Linked DNA regions of Xenopus tropicalis. The protein of the gene in region 2 interacts with the protein of the main gene of each other region in a biochemical or structural test. Links are inferred from orthologs where the notes say so. Each region holds a gene or a part of one and is shown on either strand. Other genes may lie near its edges.

Region 1 (3,979 bases), on a different chromosome or scaffold from region 2:
CCCCCCAGTTTGGGGGAAGAAAAAGTGCGTCTTATACGGCGAAAAATACGGTAATACTATCATAATTATATATAGAGGTGTGAGACCTGTTATTCAGAATTCCCAGGACCTGGGGCTTTCCAGTTAAGGGATTTTAGGATTAGGAATTAGGATCACGAATTAGGATCACAATGCTTTGACTACTAAAAGATGATTTAAACATTAAATAAAACCAATAGCATTGTGTTGCTTCCAATAAGGATATCTAAGTTGGGATCAAGGTACTGTTTTATTATTACAGAGAAAACAGAAATCATTTTTAAAAATAGAAAGTATTTTATTAGAATGAAGTGTATGGCAGATGGCCTTCCTGTAATTCAGAACTTTCTGGATAACAGATTCCATACTATATACAGTATAATCTATATAGTGTGTGATTACTAAACGTTAACATGAGTTAAGAGAGTTAAGGGGGAACTCAGGATTCTAAACCAAAATTTGTTGAAGGAAAACTATACCCCCATGATGAATACTTAACAGATAGTTTATCTTAGTGTTAAGGTTATCTTATGTTTAGTGATTAAAGAATATCTGCAATATATCAGTAAATATTACCCTTTAGGGCTCTGGCAGACGGGGAGATTAGTCTCGGGCGACTAATCTCCCCAAAATCGTGCCGCCGCGTATGCCATCCCACCGGTGATTTACATTTTCGCCGGTGGGATGGCAATCCGGGGAGATTAGTCGCCCGCGAACAGGGAGTTTTGTCGCTGGCGACTAATCTCCTAGTCTGCCAGAGCGCTCCTTAACATCCTTTCCCTTGATCCACCATTTAGTGATGGGTTGTGTGCTCCCTCAGAGATCACATGAGCAGGAATAATGCAGCTTTAACTGCAACAGGAAGAATTGTGGAAGCAAAAGGCAGAACTCTGTCCATTAATTGGCTGATGTGGCAGAGCATGTATGTGTGCCTTGGCTTGTTTGTGTGCACTGGGAATCCTATGATCCCAGGAGGTGGCCCTTAATTCGTAAAATGGCAATTATCTATTTAGGAGTACCCAATAGCACATACTACTAAAAAGTATATTTTTATGCAAATGGTTTATTTAGATGAAGCAGGGTTTTACATATTAGCTTGTGTACAGAACTTGTGTTACAGACAGCATGCAGGAAATACATAACCCACAATGCATTGCACTGTGATTTTCCTTTCCTTACTGACATCACGCGTGCAGGAAATTGGAGGATGCAGGCTAAGGACAGTCAACCAATGTTACATTTTATTTGAGTCAGCCAGGTCAGCAGGAGAACAGGGGGGCAGGCTTAGGTAACTGTTCCAAACAATATTATTACATTATAAATCATGAAAAGGCTGCATATTTTTTTTAATTGATGTATATTGCAAAGTTGCTTGAAATTATGTTTAATTTTCAAAACGCTTAAGTTGTGTTTTGGTGGATTTCCTCTTTAAGTAAATAAAGGGTTAAGTTCAAGAAGACTGGCTGCTACTTTTCACATGGGTGATATGGGTGCTGGATAAATGTGTCACTATTTCCCTTTAATAGTACATTGTGTTAAAAGCATCAAACAAAGACGTAAAATGCGACAAATATGCAATAAGGGAAAATCAGAAAGGGAAAAATACTATTCCCATTACTAAGAAATTCTTATTATCCTTTTTTTTTTTTTTACAGCACAAACTCAAATGTTTACCTTGCAAGGCAAATATTACACACTTGATCTTTTGCATAACAGTCGCAGGCCAAGCTTGTTTGGCATATACTGGAAGCTTTCTTATTGACACTACTACTTGTGCTTTTTGCAGAAACAGTCTTTCTTGTTGCCAGCTTTCTTGTTGTTACATCTAGCATTTTGGATGGTTTTACTGCCTACAATAAGAAGGTAAATAAGGATACCACGGTTAGAGTAGTTCTAATAATGGAGAACAAACAGCAGGTGAAGTATACAGTACTTACAGAGATAAAACAGCTTTCCCATAGAAGACCTTAATTGTATTTCATATGAAGGCCTTTACACATGGGTGTTGCCTCCCTGTACAGGGGCTATTTTGTGCATTACACAGCACAGGAATGCAGAAGTGAAGTAACCACAGACTTCTTTGTGAGGACTGTAGACATGAGGTGCACCAAAGAGCTAACAAGGTAAAACTGGACATTTTATCTGCATTCAGAGCTTGTGCGCACCTGCGGATGCAGTCCTCATAGTCAGCTTGTGCCTTCCTGTGCGGTGCAATGCACAAAAAAGCCACTGCCCAGCAATGAACTTAGAAACACCCACGTGAATGGGACATTAGGAAGGCTATGTTGTTGAAATAACTAACTTTTTTCTTATATAGACAGTAAAAAATGTCACAGCTTCCAAATAATGAATATTAAACTTAAAGCAAATATATTTATATATATATTATATATATTATTTTTTAGTAATACTTTAATAACAATAATACAATTAAAAGCATGAGTTACAGTGTATAACTTTCATGCTTTTGACAGTAGGGCCCATTTACTTACATTCATATTTAAGTAAAAATTTAAAACCACAAATGTAAAAATCTGCCATCTGAATGCTGTCGAGGTAATGTAGAAGTCATTGGGAGCTGTCCTAGGCAGAATGTAAATCTTGATTTTTTTTTAAGGTTTGTGTGTAATTTTTAATTTGCAGGCATATGAAAATGTTAGGTTTTCTTTTTATTTTTGTTCCGCATTTTTATTCATTTGTTTTCAAATTTGGATCTTTCAATAAATGACAAAACATTTGTGGTTTTAGTGGAAATTAGTTTATTCATGGTTTCAAAAAAAACTCTAAAACCATAAAGTTGATAAATGGGCCTCCACGTATGGCTCAATAAGCTTCTTAATGTAATAAAAATAGAGTTGGTGGGGAGCCTGAGAATATAACACCACCATATATAGCAAATCAGAATTTCCCATAAACCAGAGCCACACCTAAAGTAAGTACAAAAAGGCATATATATTTTTTTTAGCTAGTTTTTTAGTTAGCCAAACTTCTAAGCAGCAAATAGCATCAATATTTAAAAAATGTAAAATGAACAATTAACACATCCAGCCCACAGCTTATAAAAATGCTAATGAATATGAAATGTGCTGGCACTTGAAGAGTTAAATCAAACGAAAGACCAAACTTACAGCACTAACATAAACAACAGTTCTCTGCAGAACACATTCTCTTCAGGTTGAAGGAGCATAGATTCATTATTTACAGAATTAAATGAAATATTGACATTTCTTAATAGGCAACACATTTTGACTTACTTTTAAAGTGGTGTTGTCAGTGGTGACAGCACTGTGCACATTAAAATTCCTCTCTCCAAATACAGACCGCTGAGCAGAGCTGCCAAACAGCCCTTCCTGAAAAACCAATCCAAATCAAGTACAATAAGAATTATATCTAACACACTGAAAATGAAGGTAGTAGTACATAAGTAAAATGAGAACAGCTGCATGCATGTTTTCAGGCAACCAAATCTTTTCCATGTGGAAAAGAACAGTCTAGACAGAGCTATAAACAATATAATGAACATGGTCTTAACAAAAATGCACTGAAACATACTCTTGATACTATGAAAAAATGAAGCAAATGTGACCACCAACCAAAAATATACATAACTGAACTGTGTTAAACATAAAAAGTTATCAGAGGTCTGTTTTGTTTTTTGGTAAAATAGTATAATAAATAGGGGTTTATGTCTTTGGCAAATTCTATGCTTGGTGTTCACCCAAAAAGAGAAAAAAAGACTGAGGACCTGTCCATGGTTTCCTGTGGATATATGAGTTCCTGAATGTGACCACTGCTTTTTAACAGACTGTTTTGATGATACATGGTTTACTTTTCTAAGTACCGGTATATTCTGATGCACCCAGTTTCCTGATATAATATACGGATGATTTTGTGAGCAACTTCCCTGTTTTTTGGGCTGCAAAACTTTCAGAAGATCAATTTTTGTGTCTGGTGTTCCTTG
Region 2 (3,979 bases):
TCACTTTTGTATGCTCTAATGGGGGCCTCCATTCAGTCTATACCATAACTACCATGGTGAAATTATCATGATCCCCTATAGACTTTCACACACACCGTTAATACCACAGAAAAATAAACCTATTAGGATATATTTTCTGGATATATACATGGCCTGGTGCTGTTGGAAATCCCTTTTTTTTTTTTTTTTTTTTTTTTTTTTTTGATAATACATACAATGACAATACAATATTATATTTATGTGACTGTTCCCTGTGTTCCCAATGTTTTGCAGCTCATGGAGAGGAAGTGCAGTCTCCTCCATCGCAGAGACGTCGGACAGAAGATTCCACATCTATTGGCGAACTTCTGCCCATGCCAACCTCACCTTCAGGGGACCTTCAGAGCCCCAGCGGGCAAGAGCTTATGTTTTCTAGCCCTGCACCATCAAGGCATTCTGGTATGCTGAACACATTTTTCCTCAATTACCATAGCATGCAGGTTCCCATTATAACAACATTGTATTTATTTGTGGGGGGGGGTTTCTTGCTCCCCAAATCTGAGTTTTTGTATACTTGGTGTCCCTATAATAATTAAAAAAAAAAAATTAGTAAAAGTGTTTTTTTTTTTTTTTTTTTACTAAATTCCAAAAACTGCTACTGGATGTGCCCTAATGACATTAAAGGGCCAGTGATACTATGAATTGAAAATGCCCTCAAAGTATTTACTAATGACAATCACTTAGTCTGTTGATTAGAAAATACTGAACCATTTTTAGATATTTTGTTAGAAAATGCCTGTTTTCTGCTGCTGGTTTTTACCAGTTTATAATTATATACTAACTAAGACTTCATTGGGTACAAAAAGGCTATGTGCTACTACTCCTATGAAAAGTACCGCCTTCAAAAGTAACCACAATTCTAGTATTATCATTTATTTTATTGTATGGCTATGGTTGATCCCTGTTTCACTAGATTTGTTGAATAAGATTTAGTAGAGAGCTCACATGAGTAACTAAGGTGTTTTACTAAGAATTGTAAAAAGTGTAAACCCATTAAAGATATGATTTCTAACTTTTCCAAATGTATTTTGCTTACAGCCCTTCAAAGTGAGCTTGATCTCAGCTCACCTCTCACTTATGGCACCCCTAGCTCAAGAGTTGAGGGTACCCCTAGAAGTGGTATCCGAGGGACTCCTGCTCGACAGAGACCTGACTTGGGATCAGCACGCAAAGTTAAGCAGGTGGATTTACATTCAGACCAAGTAAGTATCCTAAGCTCCATAACAGGTTGTTTACAAAATGAGTATTTGGTCAACATAATAATTCTAATTATGCTTTTTCAAGCCTGCTGCAGAGGAGCTGGTTACGAGTGAGCAATCTTTGGGACAGAAGCTGGTGATCTGGGGAACTGATGTCAATGTTGCCACTTGCAAAGAAAAGTTTCAGGTAAACAACTGGCCAGTCCTTACATTTTCATGTTTTTAATTTTTTTTTTAAATTGGATCAATTAGAATTTTGAGTTGTAATTTCAGTGCCGTTTTCTAACCTTTAAGTATCTCTTCCTATGATTTAGCGTTTTGTTCAGCGATTCATTGATCCTTTAGCTAAAGAAGAGGAAAATGTAGGACTGGATCTGAATGAGCCTATATATATGCAGCGACTTGAAGAGGTATGTGTGTTTTTAAAAAAAAAAAAAAATGTAGTATTTTTCTTCCAGTAAACCTAAGAAATCCTAAATTTTATTTTCTGTCCCTTTAGATAAATGTAGTAGGTGAGCCATTTCTCAATGTTGACTGTGACCATCTCAGAAGCTTTGATCAGGATCTTTACAGGCAGCTGGTTTGCTACCCACAGGTAATTTATGTTACTGTTCTTTCAGGAAAATTAATAATTACATATGTTTTTAGAAGCCATGATTTTCAGCCTGTTGTGAAGTTAATATATGTAAAAAAAAAAAAAAAAAAATCAGAAAAAGCTCTTAATTTGTTTGTTTTTTTTTTTTTTTTCCCCCTTAGGAAGTTATTCCAACATTTGATATGGCTGCTAATGAGATTTTCTTTGAGCGGTACCCTGACTCCATTTTAGAGCACCAGATTCAAGTTAGACCCTATAATGCATTGAAAACTAGAAATATGAGAAGCTTAAATCCAGAAGGTAATAAAATATGTTCAATGTTGTTGAGTCATGTCTAGTCTTAGACTAGTTTTAGTGTTCCACTGTTGCTTCCTATCAATTGAGTGAGAAACGAACAGCATCTGAAATTGGACTTTATTTTCATGGTTGTCAGGTTGCTTTTATAAACATAAGTTAGGCTAATGACACTTTTTTTTTTTCACCCTAGATATTGATCAGCTTATCACAATTAGTGGCATGGTTATCAGAACTTCTCAAATCATCCCAGAGATGCAGGAAGCATTTTTTAAATGTCAAGTGTGTGCCTTTACTACTAGAGTGGAGATTGATCGTGGTCGCATTTCAGAGCCATCAGTCTGCAAACACTGCAACACCACACACAGCATGGCTCTTATTCACAATCGCTCTATGTTCTCAGACAAGCAAATGGTAAGTTTTTATCTCATAACATTTGCTAACCACATATTTTGTGAAGATGGAATATATGCATTTTGCATATCTTCTATGGATGTGCCACAATGTTTTGAAAATAATTTCTTATGCAGTAGATTCTCATTATACTATACTCCTAGATTAAACTGCAAGAGTCTCCAGAAGATATGCCTGCTGGTCAGACCCCTCATACAACTATTCTCTATGGTCATAATGACTTGGTGGATAAGGTACAGCCTGGTGATAGAGTGAATGTCACAGGTATGTTCATTTGTACTGCAGAACATATTTTGCAACAGTCTTAATAGTGCCACATATTCAAATGTTATAATTTCTTTACATCTTATTTTAAGAAGCTTATTTCATCCACTCTTATTTAAGTTCCAGTAACATCTAGTGCACCAAATAAGTGGTAACTCTGATGTCATGCTAGGCAGTTTCTACTTTTTTTTTTTTTTTTTCTGGGGGGACTTCCCTGCTGGCCAATATTGCAGGTCACCCATGATGATCAAAATAAATTGTGGGTAATCTGTGAATTCACATGCCTGGCAGGTTACTTGCCTTAAATGATTTGTTGCATTTTTCTAGATGAAGTGAGCAGTTTTGGCTACAATGTGGGGATTGCAAAGAAAAGGAGCTTAAAATAGTGGAAAATAGAAAGGACAGATGGCATCACTATAGGTGTGGCTTTAAATAGTGGTTAACTCTATACTAATCTTTCCTTTCCCTTTAAGATTCAGAACTGGAAAAAGAAAGGAAAAGAGAGAACTGCTTTCAATTGCTGATGCCTTTTTAAAAACATTGACAATTTATAATGTAAATAACAAAGTTGCTTAAAATTATTATTGCATCTTTATTCATTATGCAATGGGTGGAGATCCCACGGTTCTATATCGCTCTGATCTGTAAATTGCTTAGGGAGGAAAACACCATTCATATTCAAACTTGCTAGTTTGCCACAAGGCTTCTTGATAAACTTTTAATTGCTCTTGATTTTATGGTGCTGACTATCAAGGACTTGTTACATAGACTTCATATTTTTGGCTTTCTTCATGTTATGCTGGGCAACCTAGAAAGCAGAAGAAAAAGATGTTCTACTAAAGCAAAATAATCACATTTGTGTTGAGTACTAACTAGCAAGCAGTTTGTTTTAACAGCACTAAACTGCTTGGTCACAGTGGAAATAACTAATTATTTAGCAACTTCAATGTTTTATTTCTCCAGGTATTTACAGAGCTGTCCCAATTCGAGTTAACCCTAGAGTTCGAAATGTAAAGTCTGTTTACAAAACTCACATTGATGTTATTCATTACCGAAAAACTGATGCAAAGCGGTTGCATGGTATTGATGAGGACACAGAACAGAAGATGTTCACTGAAGAAAGGGTTGCAATGTTAAAAGAACTTGCAGCAAAACCAGACATCTATGAGAGGCT
Region 3 (4,631 bases), on a different chromosome or scaffold from region 2:
CACTGGGCAGTAGGAAGGGTTGGGGGGCTCTGGGCTAGGACAGGGTTGGGGGGCACCGGCTCGCAGTAGGACAGGGTTGGGGGCACCGGCTCGGCAGTAGGACAGGGTTGGGGGCACTCGGCAGTAGGACAGGGTTGGGGGGCACCGGCTCGGCAGTAGGACAGGGTTTGGGGGGGCACTGGGCAGTAGGACAGGGTTGGGGGCACTGGGCAGTAGGACAGGGTTGGGGGCACTGGGCAGTAGGACAGGGTTGGGGGGCACGGGGCAGTAGGACAGGGTTGGGGGGCACTGGGCAGTAGGACAGGGGTTGGGGGCACTGGGCAGTAGGACAGGGTTGGGGGGCCTTAGGACAGGGTTGGGGGCACGGGCAGTAGGACAGGTTGGGGGGCACTGGGCAGTAGGACAGGGTTGGGGGCAACTGGGCAGTAGACAGGGTTGGGGGGCACTGGGCAGTAGGGACAGGTTGGGGGCACGGCAGTAGGACAGGGTTGGGGGCACTGGCAGCAGGTTGGGGGGCACTGGGCCAGTAGGACAGGGTTGGGGGGCACTGGGCAGTAGGACAGGGTTGGGGGGCACTGGGCAGTAGGACAGGGTTGGGGGGCACTGGGCAGTAGGACAGGGTTTGGGGGCACTGGGCAGTAGGACAGGGTAGGGGGCACTGGGCAGTAGGACAGGGTTGGGGGGCACTGGGCAGTAGGACAGGGTTGGGGGGCACTGGGCAGTAGGACAGGGGTTGGGGGGCACTGGGCAGTAGGACAGGGTTGGGGGGCACTGGGCCAGTAGGACAGGGTTGGGGGCACTGGGCAGTAGGACAGGGTTGGGGGGCACTGGGCAGTAGGACAGGGTTGGGGGGCACTGGGCAGTAGGACAGGGTTGGGGGCACTGGGCAGTAGGACAGGGTTGGGGGCACTGGGCAGTAGGACAGGGTTTGGGGGGCACTGGGCAGTAGGACAGGGTTGGGGGGCACTGGGCAGTAGGACAGGGTTGGGGGGCACTGGGCAGTAGGACAGGGTGGGGGGCACCGGGCAGTAGGACAGGGTTGGGGGGCACTGGGCAGTAGGACAGGGTTGGGGGGGCACTGGGCAGTAGGACAGGGTTGGGGGGCACTGGGCAGTAGGACAGGGTTGGGGGGCACTGGGCAGTAGGAGTGAGGGGCCCCTTTACTCACCGCTCGGAAGCATTGCGGGGCCGTGCTGGCTCACAGGGATGAAGGGAAGGGAGAAGCTGATCTCGGAGGCGGAGAAGAGCAGGTTGTTGCCAGGCGGCCCGGACTGAGCCCCGTTAGGTACCTTCCCCGCCATGTCCGTCCCACAAGTTCCACGTAACCCACCCGGGACAGCAGGAACCGGACCCGTCACCAAGTGAGTACGTCCAATCAATACCTACGGGCGTTCCGCGTTATCCAATGAGAACTCGCCAAACACAAACCTCCCCAACCAGTGGCTGAAGAGCAAAGTTCATATGCATGACGTAGCACCTCAGCTCCACCAATTAAACCGTGCGTTTAGATAAAAGGGCGGTTCCAGAGGTTCCTATCCCTTTCGCTAACTATAATGTGGCTGCCCGGCTGAGGACTTCCGCCAGTCGCTACGTGCACTCCAGCCAAAACATGGCCGCGCTCATGGAGATTTCCGCCAACCAGTGCGTTTCGGGAGCGCTTGACGCGACCCATTGCGTAGTGACGTCTTTTTCCCGCCATCACTGAGTTAGTTCAACGAGTCTTTGGTGTCTGCGCGATGACTGGAGGAGAAAGCTGGATCAGCGACCCGCTCGGTGTGGTACAGGGCTTGTTTGGTGAGTGGGGCAGCGTCCGGCCCCCGGGCCAGCAGGAGTGGGGCGGGTAGAGCCGGGCATGAGTGGGGCGGGTAGAGCCGGGCATGAGTGGGGCAGGCGGGTAGAGCCGGGCATGAGTGGGGCGGGTAGAACCGGGCATGAGTGGGGCGGGTAGAGCCGGGCATGAGTGGGGCGGGTAGAACCGGGCATGAGTGGGGCGGGTAGAGCCGGGCATGAGTGGGGCGGGCGGGTAGAGCCGGGCATGAGTGGGGCGGGCGGGTAGAGCCGGGCATGAGTGGGGCAGGCGGGTAGAGCCGGGCATGAGTGGGGCTGGTAGAGCCGGGCATGAGTGGGGCGGGTAGAGCCGGGCATGAGTGGGGCGGGTAGAGCCGGGCATGAGTCGGGCGGGTAGAGCCGGGCATGAGTGGGGCGGGTAGAGCCGGGCAATGGGTGGGGCGGGTAGAGCCGGGCATGAGTGGGGGCGGGTAGAGCCGGGCATGAGTGGGGCGGGTAGAGCCGGGCATGAGTGGGGCGGGTAGAGCCGGGCATGAGTGGGGCGGGTAGAGCCGGGCATGAGTGGGGGCGGGTAGAGAGCCGGGCATGAGTGGGGCGGGCGGGTAGAGCCGGGCATGAGTGGGGCGGGTAGAGCCGGGCATGAGTGGGGGGGGTAGAGCCGGGCATGAGTGGGGCGGGCGGGTAGAGCCGGGCATGAGTGGGGTGGGTAGAGCCGGGCATGAGTGGGCGGGGTAGAGCCGGGCATGAGTGGGGCGGGCGGGTAGAGCCGGGCATGAGTGGGGCGGGCGGGTAGAGCCGGGCATGAGTGGGGCGGGCGGGTAGAGCCGGGCATGAGTGGGGCGGGCGGGTAGAGCCGGGCATGAGTGGGGCGGGCGGGTAGAGCCGGGCATGAGTGGGGCGGGTAGAGCCGGGCATGAGTGGGGCTGGTAGAGCCGGGCATGAGTGGGGCCGGGTAGAGCCGGGCATGAGTGGGGCGGGTAGAGCCGGGCATGAGTGGGGCGGGTAGAGCCGGGCATGAGTGGGGCGGTGAGCCGGGTCGGGTAGAGCCGGGCATGAGTGGGGCGGGTAGAGCCGGGCATGAGTGGGGCGGGTAGAGCGGGCATGAGTGGGGCGGGTAGAGCCGGGCATGAGTGGGGCGGGCAGAGCCGGGCATGAGTGGGGCGGGTGAGGGGCGGGTAGAGCCGGGCATGAGTGGGGCGGGCGGGTAGAGCCGGGCATGAGTGGGGGCGGCGGGTAGAGCCGGGCATGAGTGGGGCGGGCGGGTAGAGCCGGGCATGAGTGGGGCAGGCGGGTAGAGCCGGGCATGAGTGGGGCGGGTAGAGCCGGGCATGAGTGGGGCGGGGTAGAGCCGGGCATGAGTGGGGCGGGTAGAGCCGGGCATGAGTGGGGCGGTAGAGCCGGGCATGAGTGGGGCGGGCGGGTAGAGCCGGGCATGAGTGGGGCGGGTAGAGCCGGGCATGAGTGGGGCGGGTAGAGCCGGGCATGAGTGGGGCGGGCGGGTAGAGCCGGGCATGATGGGGGCGGGCGGGTAGAGCCGGGCATGAGTGGGGCGGGTGGGCGGGTAGCAGGCCGGGCATGATGGGGCGGGGTAGAGCCGGGCATGAGTGGGGCGGGTAGAGCCGGGCATGGGGGGCCGGGGTAGAGCCGGGCATGAGTGGGGCGGGTAGAGCCGGGCCATGAGTGGGGCGGGGTAGAGCCGGGCATGAGTGGGGCGGGCGGGTAGAAGCCGCGGCATGAGTGGGCCGCGGGTAGAGCCGGGCATGAGTGGGGCTGGCGGGTAGAGCCGGGCATGAGTGGGGCTGGCGGGTAGAGCCGGGCATGAGTGGGGCGGGCGGGTAGAGCCGGGCATGAGTGGGGCTGGCGGGTAGAGCCGGGCCATGAGTGGGGCGGGTAGAGCCGGGCATGAGTTGGGGGGAGGGCGGGCGGGTAGAGCCGGGCGTGAGTGGGGCGGGCAGGTAGAGCCGGGCATGAGTGGGGCGGGCATGAGTGGGGCGGGTAGAGCCGGGCATGAGTGGGGCGGGCGGAGCCGGGCATGAGGGGGGGTAGAGCCGGGCATGAGTGGGGCGGGCGGGTAGAGCCGGGCATGAGTGGGGCGGGCGGGTAGAGCCGGGCATGAGTGGGGCAGGCGGGCGGGTAGAGAAAACCCATTTAGGGGCATATTTATTATAGTGTGTAGGCAACATTATAAGTTCTAAAATGTAAATATCTGGTTGGTTGCTATGGCAACATGACTAGTGATGTTTGCTTACACCCTAATATAAAGATGCCCTTTAGTGTGATGGCACCTGTGGCACCATGCCATCTCTGCTGAGTATGGAGCGGCCTCTAGTAGCCCAACGATCCCTGATTGTTGAACTGTGGCACCCAGCACCCACATTCCCTGCTCGCTGTATGCATGGGGGTGGCACAGGTATGTAGTGTTGGGTGGCACCCTCTCACTTAGGTGGGCACTGGGTTTAGCGCTGCACAGGATGTGCCCCAATAGCAGCTGGGGGGCCCCAGGCTACTGTACCCTGAATCAGGACATGGGTGTGAGTGCATTACACAGTTACGTAGTAGCTCAGGTAGAAAAAAGACCAACTTTACTGAATATCATGTTTATCCCTTTCAGCTATTAGCGTTTTGCTTTTCATTATGCCATGTGTGCCCCCTCCAATATGTTTCTCTATGAGACCCCCGATCTCACCCCGTGCCCTGTATTCCAGCAGCTCAGAGACCGGCAGATGGCGACTGGCAGAAGAACGTTACCGACTACTTCAGTGCCAAGCTACGGGACAGTGACTCTGCCGCTGCCGTAAGTGCTCTTCCTTTAGCAACACCGGCCCCTTGCCCACCATTACATG
Region 4 (3,666 bases), about 84 Mb from region 2:
GGAAGAAATTTTAATTGATAATGTAGTCATTATTTTTATGTGCCGCATTCCTAATCCATGTATTGTTTTGCAGTATAAATAAGACTGGTCACGTACAGGATGGTGCAAACAATGCAAATATTAAATTAAAGGAGCAAAAGAAGCATGGCTACTGTGAGTGCTGTCTTAAAAAATACGACAGTCTGGAATCTGTAAGTATAATCTATTTTTTCTTTAATAAATTATAGAGACTTAGTACTATTTTAAACATAACTAAAAACTATATAATTTTACTTGTAAAATATTTTTTGCAGTTTAATATGTTAAGGGGGATTAGAGCTCAAAACAGAAAAATTCACCCTCTTTCTATTTATTCCTATGGGCTTTTTAAAAGCATATTTATCAAAGGGTGAATTTTAAGTTTACTCATTCATAAATACACCTCTAAAATCCAATAGAAATGAATAGAAATTGGGTGAATTATTCTGTGGTGAGCTCTAATCTTACATTTTGATATATCAGCCCCTAAGTTTGTTACTAATATTCCAGTGGTAAGGACTGCATGGTAAGGACTTAGATCATGCATACATACAAACCAGTGCTATCAAAGTTTTCACATGTAGTGACATTATTATACTCTGGACCAAATGTTATTCTGAGTTATTAACTTTTTCCTAACTGTGTCAGTCCATTGGAATGCATTTGCTTAGAGCAGTCAAACTCCATTTTGTATTTTTATCCTGTCTTCATATTAACATATCATGTAATGTAAAATTTAGCAGTCCTTTACACGCATTAATATGTGTATACATACATAATTTATGGATTCATTTTTTTTATTGCAGCATATTTTAAGCCCACAGCATAAGAACTATTCAGAAAGTGCATACTATCAAGTGGTTGATGATCTTATTTCTACTTTTGAGTTTGACTTTGTGGATTGGTCGAAATACAAAAATGGAAGAAAAAGGTAAATACATAAATTGTAAATATCAACTACTCAGCCAGGGCATTGCTTGGCAATAAAGTCAGCTTGCTACCATTTTCAGGTGGTATTCTTTTTTTTAAAGTGGAACTCTACTCAAACACAACATAAGCTTTTTAAAAGGTAAACATAATTTCAAACAACTTTGCAATAAACAGTTAAATAATATGCAGCCTTTTCATGATGTTTGATGTAATATGATTTGGAACAGTTCCCTAAGCCTGGCCCCCCTGTTCTCCTGCTGATCTGGCTGACTACTTCAAATAAAGTGTAACCGTATTCAATTGTCCTCAGCCTGCGCCTTCAAATCACACAATCCCCTTCACTCATGATGTCAATAAGAAAAGGAATATAACGGTGCAAAGTATTGTGGGTTATGTAGTTCCTGCATTCTGTAAGCTGTGGAGAAATAACACTAATATTTTAGTCCCTCCTCCCCTGCCAGGATGATGCAGAAAGAAGAACCATTTTGAAGCTGGATTTCAGCAAATAAAATCGTATTTATTAATACTTTTTGAAGGAACAGATAATAGCAATAGGTGTATTAGGAGTTTGTGTTGTGTGGGGCTCTTTAACAAATTTAGGTTCAGAAGCCAAAGTTCACATTTAATAGGTTATAACATTTGCACCAGGTATAGTAACCATACCAGCAGGTAGAGTTTATTGGTTACCTGTTACTTTCCATATATTCATTATATATGTATATTATTTTTTTTTTATTTGTAGTGTGGGGATATTGATGTTGACTGAAAAATATAAAGCTGAAGGCCAGGAGAGAAATGAAGCTTCAAAAGCAAACACTTTTTCAGAAAGAGTGTCAGCTACCACCCCACTGCAGGAGAATACGTTAAAGGATCCTTATGCTACTTCTTGTTCTGTTCCACCAACTCCTGTTTGCAATACCGATCCAATGTTTTCCTTGCCCTCTCCTGTGGGATCTGCAGAATTATGCAACAAAAAATATACAACAGACAACTTTGAGCAACTTGTAGCAACATCTGTGCCAGCTTTGTGTTTGAAGGACAATCTCCCGGGTTCATTAGGTGAAAGAGAAATGTCAGTTGTTTACAATGAAACGAAACAAAATGAAACTATAGATCATACTATGGAGAGGCCAAAGATTGGGTGGGATGCTAGCAACATTCCTAGCAATATCTTACTATATGTTCCACAGAAGGTAGACGCTGTCGCACAGTACGCGAATGTCTCTCTAAAGGGAAATATACATTGTAGTAAATTGACTGCATGCCAGGCAGCTCTCACTTATGGAAAAATGGATCCAGCTGTGTGTGATAATATTACATTTCCTAAGACTGTAAATCACCTTCACAACAAAGAAGGGCATAGAACAATGGACCAAATATATCCCACTGTACAGTCGGATGAGCTCCAGAGTCTCCTGCCTGATTACTCGCCTTCAGGAAATCTGCACAGGAAACTGAAGACTTCTGCTCAAACAAACCTAGCTGATGATGAGCTTCTCTGCAGACTCTCGCATAAGGTGTCTGTTCCACAGCAAAATGATGTTTTAAATGTACCCAGTGAAACTCTGCTAGCAATGTTTGAGTCCAGTGAGGATAAAACTGAGTTTTTTGGGTTTGCTGGCAGCTGTGTGTGTGACCCATGCAGTATGGATGATGGCGATAATCGGGATCAAGCCCACAAAAACTTGCTTTTGTCTCTCTTCTCGCACACCACCACGTCTGGCTCTTCGTTTCTTGGCTTTTAATGTTTGAGTTTTAATTATTTGTAATTTTATTATTTGTTTTAATGATTTTAATGCGCGGAAAATACTTTTCTTTAATCCACAAAATAAATAGCCAGATGTGAGATTTCTTTGTATAGCAACAGTAATACTTAAAGACACTCTTATTTTAGTAAGTAAAACGTATTTCTCACAATAATGTTCTTAAGTTTCATTACTCACATAGAACATAATGTTCTAATCTTTCTCTTTGGAAATTTTGCTGGTGTGTTTCTGTGGTTACAAGTCTGTAGGTTTTCTTATGTTTCATGATTCAGATTAAGAATATGGAGTGCTCTTGAAATTTCAAAATTAAATATAAAAAAAATCTGTGAAAAACTGATATCAATTCAGGATTCTGCTGCAGAAGCTCTATTAACTGATGTGTTTTGAAAAACAAACATGTTTTCCCATGACAATATTGCTTTAACAAATAGGGCTTGTGCTGAACATGTGTTTTTGTCTCTGCATAAACGACTGTTCCCTAAGCGGAAACCTTTTGTTGAGATAATTGTGCATATAATAACATGATGGAGAACTGTGACTTTTACTTTTTAATGAGCAAGAAATAACAAAAAAAAACCATGCATACAGTATTTCCTAATAAAGTTTGTTCAGCACAAGCCCTATGAATTAATTTAGTGTTGAATAAATGGGTATGATGCTCCTTTTTTAAATAGCAAACTGATTTATAGTTTGCTCCACTAAATGAAACTGTATCTTTGCTGCAACCTACTAAATTAAATGTGCATATATACCTTAGCTAGGTTTCATAGCTAACTACAAAATAGACAATCTTCTTAAACCTTGTGTTGTGGTTCTGTGAAACTCCAAGGAAAATGTCACTGCAAAGGCGTACATTATACAGATCATACATATGACAACAGATAAGAATAAAATTAATGTATGCATAGACCTATTAAATTGGTTACCATGTTGTCTTTACACTATATGCAGT
Region 5 (4,442 bases), on a different chromosome or scaffold from region 2:
TCGATTTTGTCACACAAATTGTTACGTAAATTGTCGCACAGTACGAAAAAGTTGTGCAAATTAATGAAAAAATTGCAAACATATGCAAAAGTTGTAAACTTCTAATTTTTAGTAATCAGACCTGTTGTACTTTAATGAATGTGCCCCTTAGTGACGAAGTTAAGGGGGGTTTCTAAAATGAATCTGCTCTGGGGCCCAGTAACCTCTAGTTATGCCACTCTGGGTCCTACAGTAAAATAATTGTAGGGACCCTCAAATAGAAATGAGAATATTCCTTATGGTGCCCCCACCCTGAGTAACTATTTAGCAGCATTTCATATGGCATGAATACGGGGAAATCTGTTCGCCATTGCCATGGAAATCCAGAGAGAAGCCGGAGACGGGCTTGGCAGCAGTGAAAGTTCCAGTTAATTACCCAGCTCAGCGGGCACAACAAAGGCTTAACAGGCGATCAGTGGGTCCCTATATAAGCCTGATGCTACTAGCTATATTTAATTGATGCCTCCAGGGTAACTAAGGAGCCGCTGTACTCCCCCAGCCCGCTCCCTGCCAGTATCCCCTCACGTCCCTCAGTGCGGCGGTGCCTGTGGTGGCTAGCGACTGGCTCCTCCCACAAGCCGCCTTGCTTCCCTCCCCCGCAGCCCGGCGTTTGGCATCAGATGGCGAGTTGCTTAATTACAGGTCCCGGCTAGTGGGCGCCCACAATAAACGTTATATGAGTGGATGGCACCGCCAAATAGGGGGAATAGCGCCATTGTGCTGCCAAATAGGGGTAATAGCGCCATTGTGCTGCCAAATAGGGGGAATAGCGCCATTGTGCTGCCAAATAGGGGGAATAGCGCCATTGTGCTGCCAAATAGGGGGAATAGCGCCATTGTGCTGCCAAATAGGGGGAATAGCGCCATTGTGCTGCCAATAGCGGGCCGGCTGCCATTGCAGGGTCTGAGGAGATTTGTGTGAGACAGGGTGTAGCCCTAAGTGCCCTACAATTTGCTATCCTCTATGTTCAATTGATAATGTAATGAATCCCAAACCATTGTTCTTGATATAAAACACTTATCCCCATACAACCCCAAGTCCCATGATCCCCGGAAAGTGTAGTGGAAAATGTTCACATTAATATCCAAGTCATAAAGCAATTGTGCCTGTGCTCGGGTTTGACACATTTATTAAGTTATAAAGCCTGTGCTTGGGTTTGACACATCAGAGGTACGTGCGCAATCCCTGTCACTTGACATGTGGGAGAAGGCGGGGCCAAGCCTGCGCCTCAGATGGTCAGTTATCACAGCCCTGACAGCTGTCACTCGTTGTTAAGGCGCTTGAACCCCCTGCTCCTGCCCGGCTGTCAAGCTGCTTCCTGGTCGCTACGGAGACCAGACCATGTGACGCGCAGCTGAGCGGCCTCTGATTGGACAGGATCCCTAACCGCGGCTCAATTGAAAACACCGGAGTTAGTTATGTTATTGAGTAGCAGCAGCGGGACTCGGGCAGATGCACAGCCGCCTCCAATCACCGGCCCCGCTGCTCAGCTGCCACCACTTTCCTGCTTCGCATAAAATCCCCGGCCCTGCTCGGGGTAGGAAGGTGCGAGGTCTGTGTTGGGTGCTTGTAGTTGCAGCAGGTAGGTGCTTGCAGGGTTGCTCGCTGTTGGGTTGATGGGGGGGTTGAACTGCTTTGTTATACTCGGATACTCTCTCTATAAGTGGTGTTAGGGTGGCTTGGTAATGTGGAGCTGCTGCTATAGAAAGCTGCCATGGCTCTATAGGGAGGTATGGGTTAGAGATAAGGTGCCAGACTCTGTCAGCTGGGAGCTGTAGTTCCGCAGCATCTCCTGCCTCTAACGGAATAGGATATCGAACCTGTGGCCCTTCAGTTTGTCTACTCTAATCCTTCTGGTAGTACAGGGCTATAGTGTGGGGTTGTAGTAACTCACTTGTAAGTTGTGTCTCTTATGTTCCATTGCTCCGGGGCTCCAGCTTTGCTATAATGCTTGGGGTCAATTTGAAGGGATGGTTCACTTTCAGGTTAATAACTTCTATGGTATAAAATGCCCTATTAACTATATATTTTTTTCCCCCTCTAACTCTTTAATTAGAGTAAGTGAGTCACTGACCCCAATGAGAACTGTGTTCTGTTCAGGACTTTCAGTCTCATTTGAGTCACTGGTTGCTAGGGTACATTTGACACTAGTAACTGGTTAGCTGCCCAAATTCCACTGGAGAGCTGCTAACCATGATTTAAAAAAAAAAAAAAACCCAAAAACAATTGCAAATTTGTCTGTCCACCTCATACTTGAAGTGAAGTGCCCCCTTTTAACTTTGCTTTCTCTGTAAACCTGTACCCTACATAATCCCACAAGCAATAAGCTCCAGGAATTTCTTGTAATGTGGTGGTTTCCACATATTCCAATTGACATCAGTAAGGGTGGATTACAAGTTGGGGCTATTTGTCAGAAAGTTCAGAATCTGACCTCTTGGCTAGCTGAAGTAACTTTCAGATGAGAAGCTTGACTTTTCTCAAGCTGGACTACATAAATTAGGACTGGGTGTCTGGCTGAACCCAGTCTCTGGTTCATCTGGGTCTTGAGCAAGTTCTTAGTGGTCAAACCTGAAGCCAGTCAGTTACTACAAGGAGGGCTTAAAATGAACATTGCTAGATATGCTGTATTGTATATACTGACTGTCAGCCCGTAAGTTCTACAGCCCTATAACATTATCTAGCTCTTCTGGATGGGAGCTCCCTATATCGTCTGTAACTGACGGCAAGCTAGATCAAGCAGCCCGGAAAAGCGAGTCTGGAACAGGTAGAGCGGCGCAAGGCCATGACAAGGGGGTGAATAGGAACCCAAAGGAAGTTAGTGTGTAGCATGCTGGGAGTTGTAGTGCCACCCTGGAGTAAGGGGTTGGGGGGGGGGGGGGGGGTTGGTAGGCAATAAGGGGATATGGGTTTGAGTAGTCGCAGCTTTAGGCGTGCTAGGGCTGCCTTAGTGGGAGCCGAAAAATGGCTAAATAGATGACGGTACAGGTGTTTTTCTGGGGGGGGCTAGGCTTTGGGGGGGGGGGGGGAAGCAGTCATAGTAGGCACAGGAGGTGGGAAAGTTTGGTTGCGGAGGCTTAGTCACAGGCTTGAAAGGGTTCTTTAAATGTTTAAGGTTAACTTTAAGTAATTGTAATGCAGCCTTTAGCGGCTAAATGTTATGTAACATATGTTTATGTAATTGGTCTAAAGTGTTTTGGATTGAAACATTGATTACAATTCTGTTATGTTATCAATAAAATAAGCTGTGGCCTTTCCACCCAGATAAATGCGGGTGTGTTTGGTGTTGTGGGGTAAGGGGAACGTTATTGCAACCTCCCCATATCATGTGCTGGAGCTACTTGGCTATTGTCTAAGCCACAGATCATTACTGGTAAGGGTGATGGCAGGTTAGTTATCTGCAATAAATCTGCTCTACTGCGGGTGACCTCCTGAAAATGCTTTCCCACCAGCAATGTCATTCCTAAGTTTCTATAAAGCAATGAGTGGTTTTTCCACTAGCAATTAACATTATTGCCAGTGGGAGAGCATTTGCTGTGGACTAGTCACCTGCAGTAGAGCAGATATATACTCTATCTCTAACTATTTTTTTTTGTAATGGAATTCATCTGGTTGCAAAAATGGAGCTTGTTAAATCTTTAATTTTTTTTCCTAGTTAACTGAAACTTGAACAAGGAAAATGCGGCGCAGTATGGTATCTGGTGGCCATATCCTTACAGCCTCCTCTCTGGTGGGAACCGGCAATGCATTCCAGAATCAGTGCCTAGCCAAGGTAGAAGTTCAGTCTAACCTTCTGCCTCCAAGAGTTTCTCAAAGAACTGTGCTGGGAGTGATAAGTGACAATGACCAGCAAAAAAGATCAGTTGGACAGGTAAGTGTTTATAGTACCAGATAATACTGCCCACTACCACTAGTTTTACTTAAGAAATACACCTGTTTACAGAGCCTCTGAGCTGGTGTATCCATTCATTGTAACAGGCAGTGGAATTCTTAATGGGTATCTAAAAGTAAAATAGTGATTAAACTAAACTTAGTGGTTAGTGGCTTCTGAGGCAGCTTTAGACAGGCTTTTTCCTTAACAGCTTGGAGTCATCCACAAGTTCAAGGGCCAGATTAAATTAAAATGTCATATATTGAAATTCATGGAGCCTTTGGGCAGACTGGGGGCCATGAAAAGCCTTTGGATGGGCTTCCAGTTGGACAGGCTTAATAACGTGTGTGTGTGTGGGGGGGGGGGTTTAAAAAAAAAAAAAAAAAAAAAACACGGCTAGGTCTACCTGTGCAGATTAAATAATCAGTGTTCCAACTCTTAGGGTGGGGCCCCTGCAAAGTGTCTGCCTGGAATTGAAAATGTGCTTCCTTTCGCTGGAAAAATCCTGCCAACAAACCCAGCACTTGTGGCTCCA

The links.
Region 1: of the proteins of mcm4 (region 2) and cdc7, one has a biochemical effect on the other in vitro, tested with the Homo sapiens proteins (2 studies listed by BioGRID). The link is inferred for Xenopus tropicalis from reciprocal best matches to the Homo sapiens genes MCM4 and CDC7.
Region 3: the proteins of mcm4 (region 2) and mcmbp form a complex in vitro, tested with the Homo sapiens proteins (2 studies listed by BioGRID). The link is inferred for Xenopus tropicalis from reciprocal best matches to the Homo sapiens genes MCM4 and MCMBP.
Region 4: of the proteins of mcm4 (region 2) and dbf4, one has a biochemical effect on the other in vitro, tested with the Homo sapiens proteins (2 studies listed by BioGRID). The link is inferred for Xenopus tropicalis from reciprocal best matches to the Homo sapiens genes MCM4 and DBF4.
Region 5: the proteins of mcm4 (region 2) and ccna1 form a complex in vitro, tested with the Homo sapiens proteins (2 studies listed by BioGRID and IntAct, with this or other methods). The link is inferred for Xenopus tropicalis from reciprocal best matches to the Homo sapiens genes MCM4 and CCNA1.

What each region holds. Positions count from the first base shown.
Region 1 is NC_030680.2:104,915,919-104,919,897, forward strand, and holds part of cdc7 (cell division cycle 7-related protein kinase), read right to left. Parts: coding exon 3,764-3,979; intron 3,369-3,763; coding exon 3,273-3,368; intron 1,869-3,272; coding exon 1,693-1,868; intron 1-1,692. UniProt on the Homo sapiens protein: Kinase involved in initiation of DNA replication. Phosphorylates critical substrates that regulate the G1/S phase transition and initiation of DNA replication, such as MCM proteins and CLASPIN.
Region 2 is NC_030682.2:113,241,486-113,245,464, forward strand, and holds part of mcm4 (DNA replication licensing factor mcm4), read left to right. Parts: intron 1-273; coding exon 274-438; intron 439-1,077; coding exon 1,078-1,241; intron 1,242-1,323; coding exon 1,324-1,425; intron 1,426-1,552; coding exon 1,553-1,648; intron 1,649-1,737; coding exon 1,738-1,833; intron 1,834-1,994; coding exon 1,995-2,133; intron 2,134-2,320; coding exon 2,321-2,541; intron 2,542-2,684; coding exon 2,685-2,805; intron 2,806-3,768; coding exon 3,769-3,979. UniProt on the Homo sapiens protein: Acts as a component of the MCM2-7 complex (MCM complex) which is the replicative helicase essential for 'once per cell cycle' DNA replication initiation and elongation in eukaryotic cells.
Region 3 is NC_030683.2:6,240,198-6,244,828, forward strand, and holds the start of mcmbp (mini-chromosome maintenance complex-binding protein), read left to right. Parts: upstream 1-1,616; 5' UTR 1,617-1,736; coding exon 1,737-1,794; intron 1,795-4,493; coding exon 4,494-4,582; intron 4,583-4,631. Other genes in the region: sec23ip (SEC23-interacting protein), read right to left, coding at 1,169-1,301. UniProt on the Homo sapiens protein: Associated component of the MCM complex that acts as a regulator of DNA replication.
Region 4 is NC_030682.2:29,274,806-29,278,471, reverse strand, and holds the end of dbf4 (protein DBF4 homolog A), read left to right. Parts: intron 1-73; coding exon 74-191; intron 192-824; coding exon 825-949; intron 950-1,690; coding exon 1,691-2,693; 3' UTR 2,694-3,025; downstream 3,026-3,666. UniProt on the Homo sapiens protein: Regulatory subunit for CDC7 which activates its kinase activity thereby playing a central role in DNA replication and cell proliferation. Required for progression of S phase.
Region 5 is NC_030678.2:151,895,368-151,899,809, reverse strand, and holds the start of ccna1 (cyclin-A1), read left to right. Parts: upstream 1-1,592; 5' UTR 1,593-1,621; intron 1,622-3,691; 5' UTR 3,692-3,715; coding exon 3,716-3,907; intron 3,908-4,349; coding exon 4,350-4,442. UniProt on the Homo sapiens protein: May be involved in the control of the cell cycle at the G1/S (start) and G2/M (mitosis) transitions. May primarily function in the control of the germline meiotic cell cycle and additionally in the control of mitotic cell cycle in some somatic cells.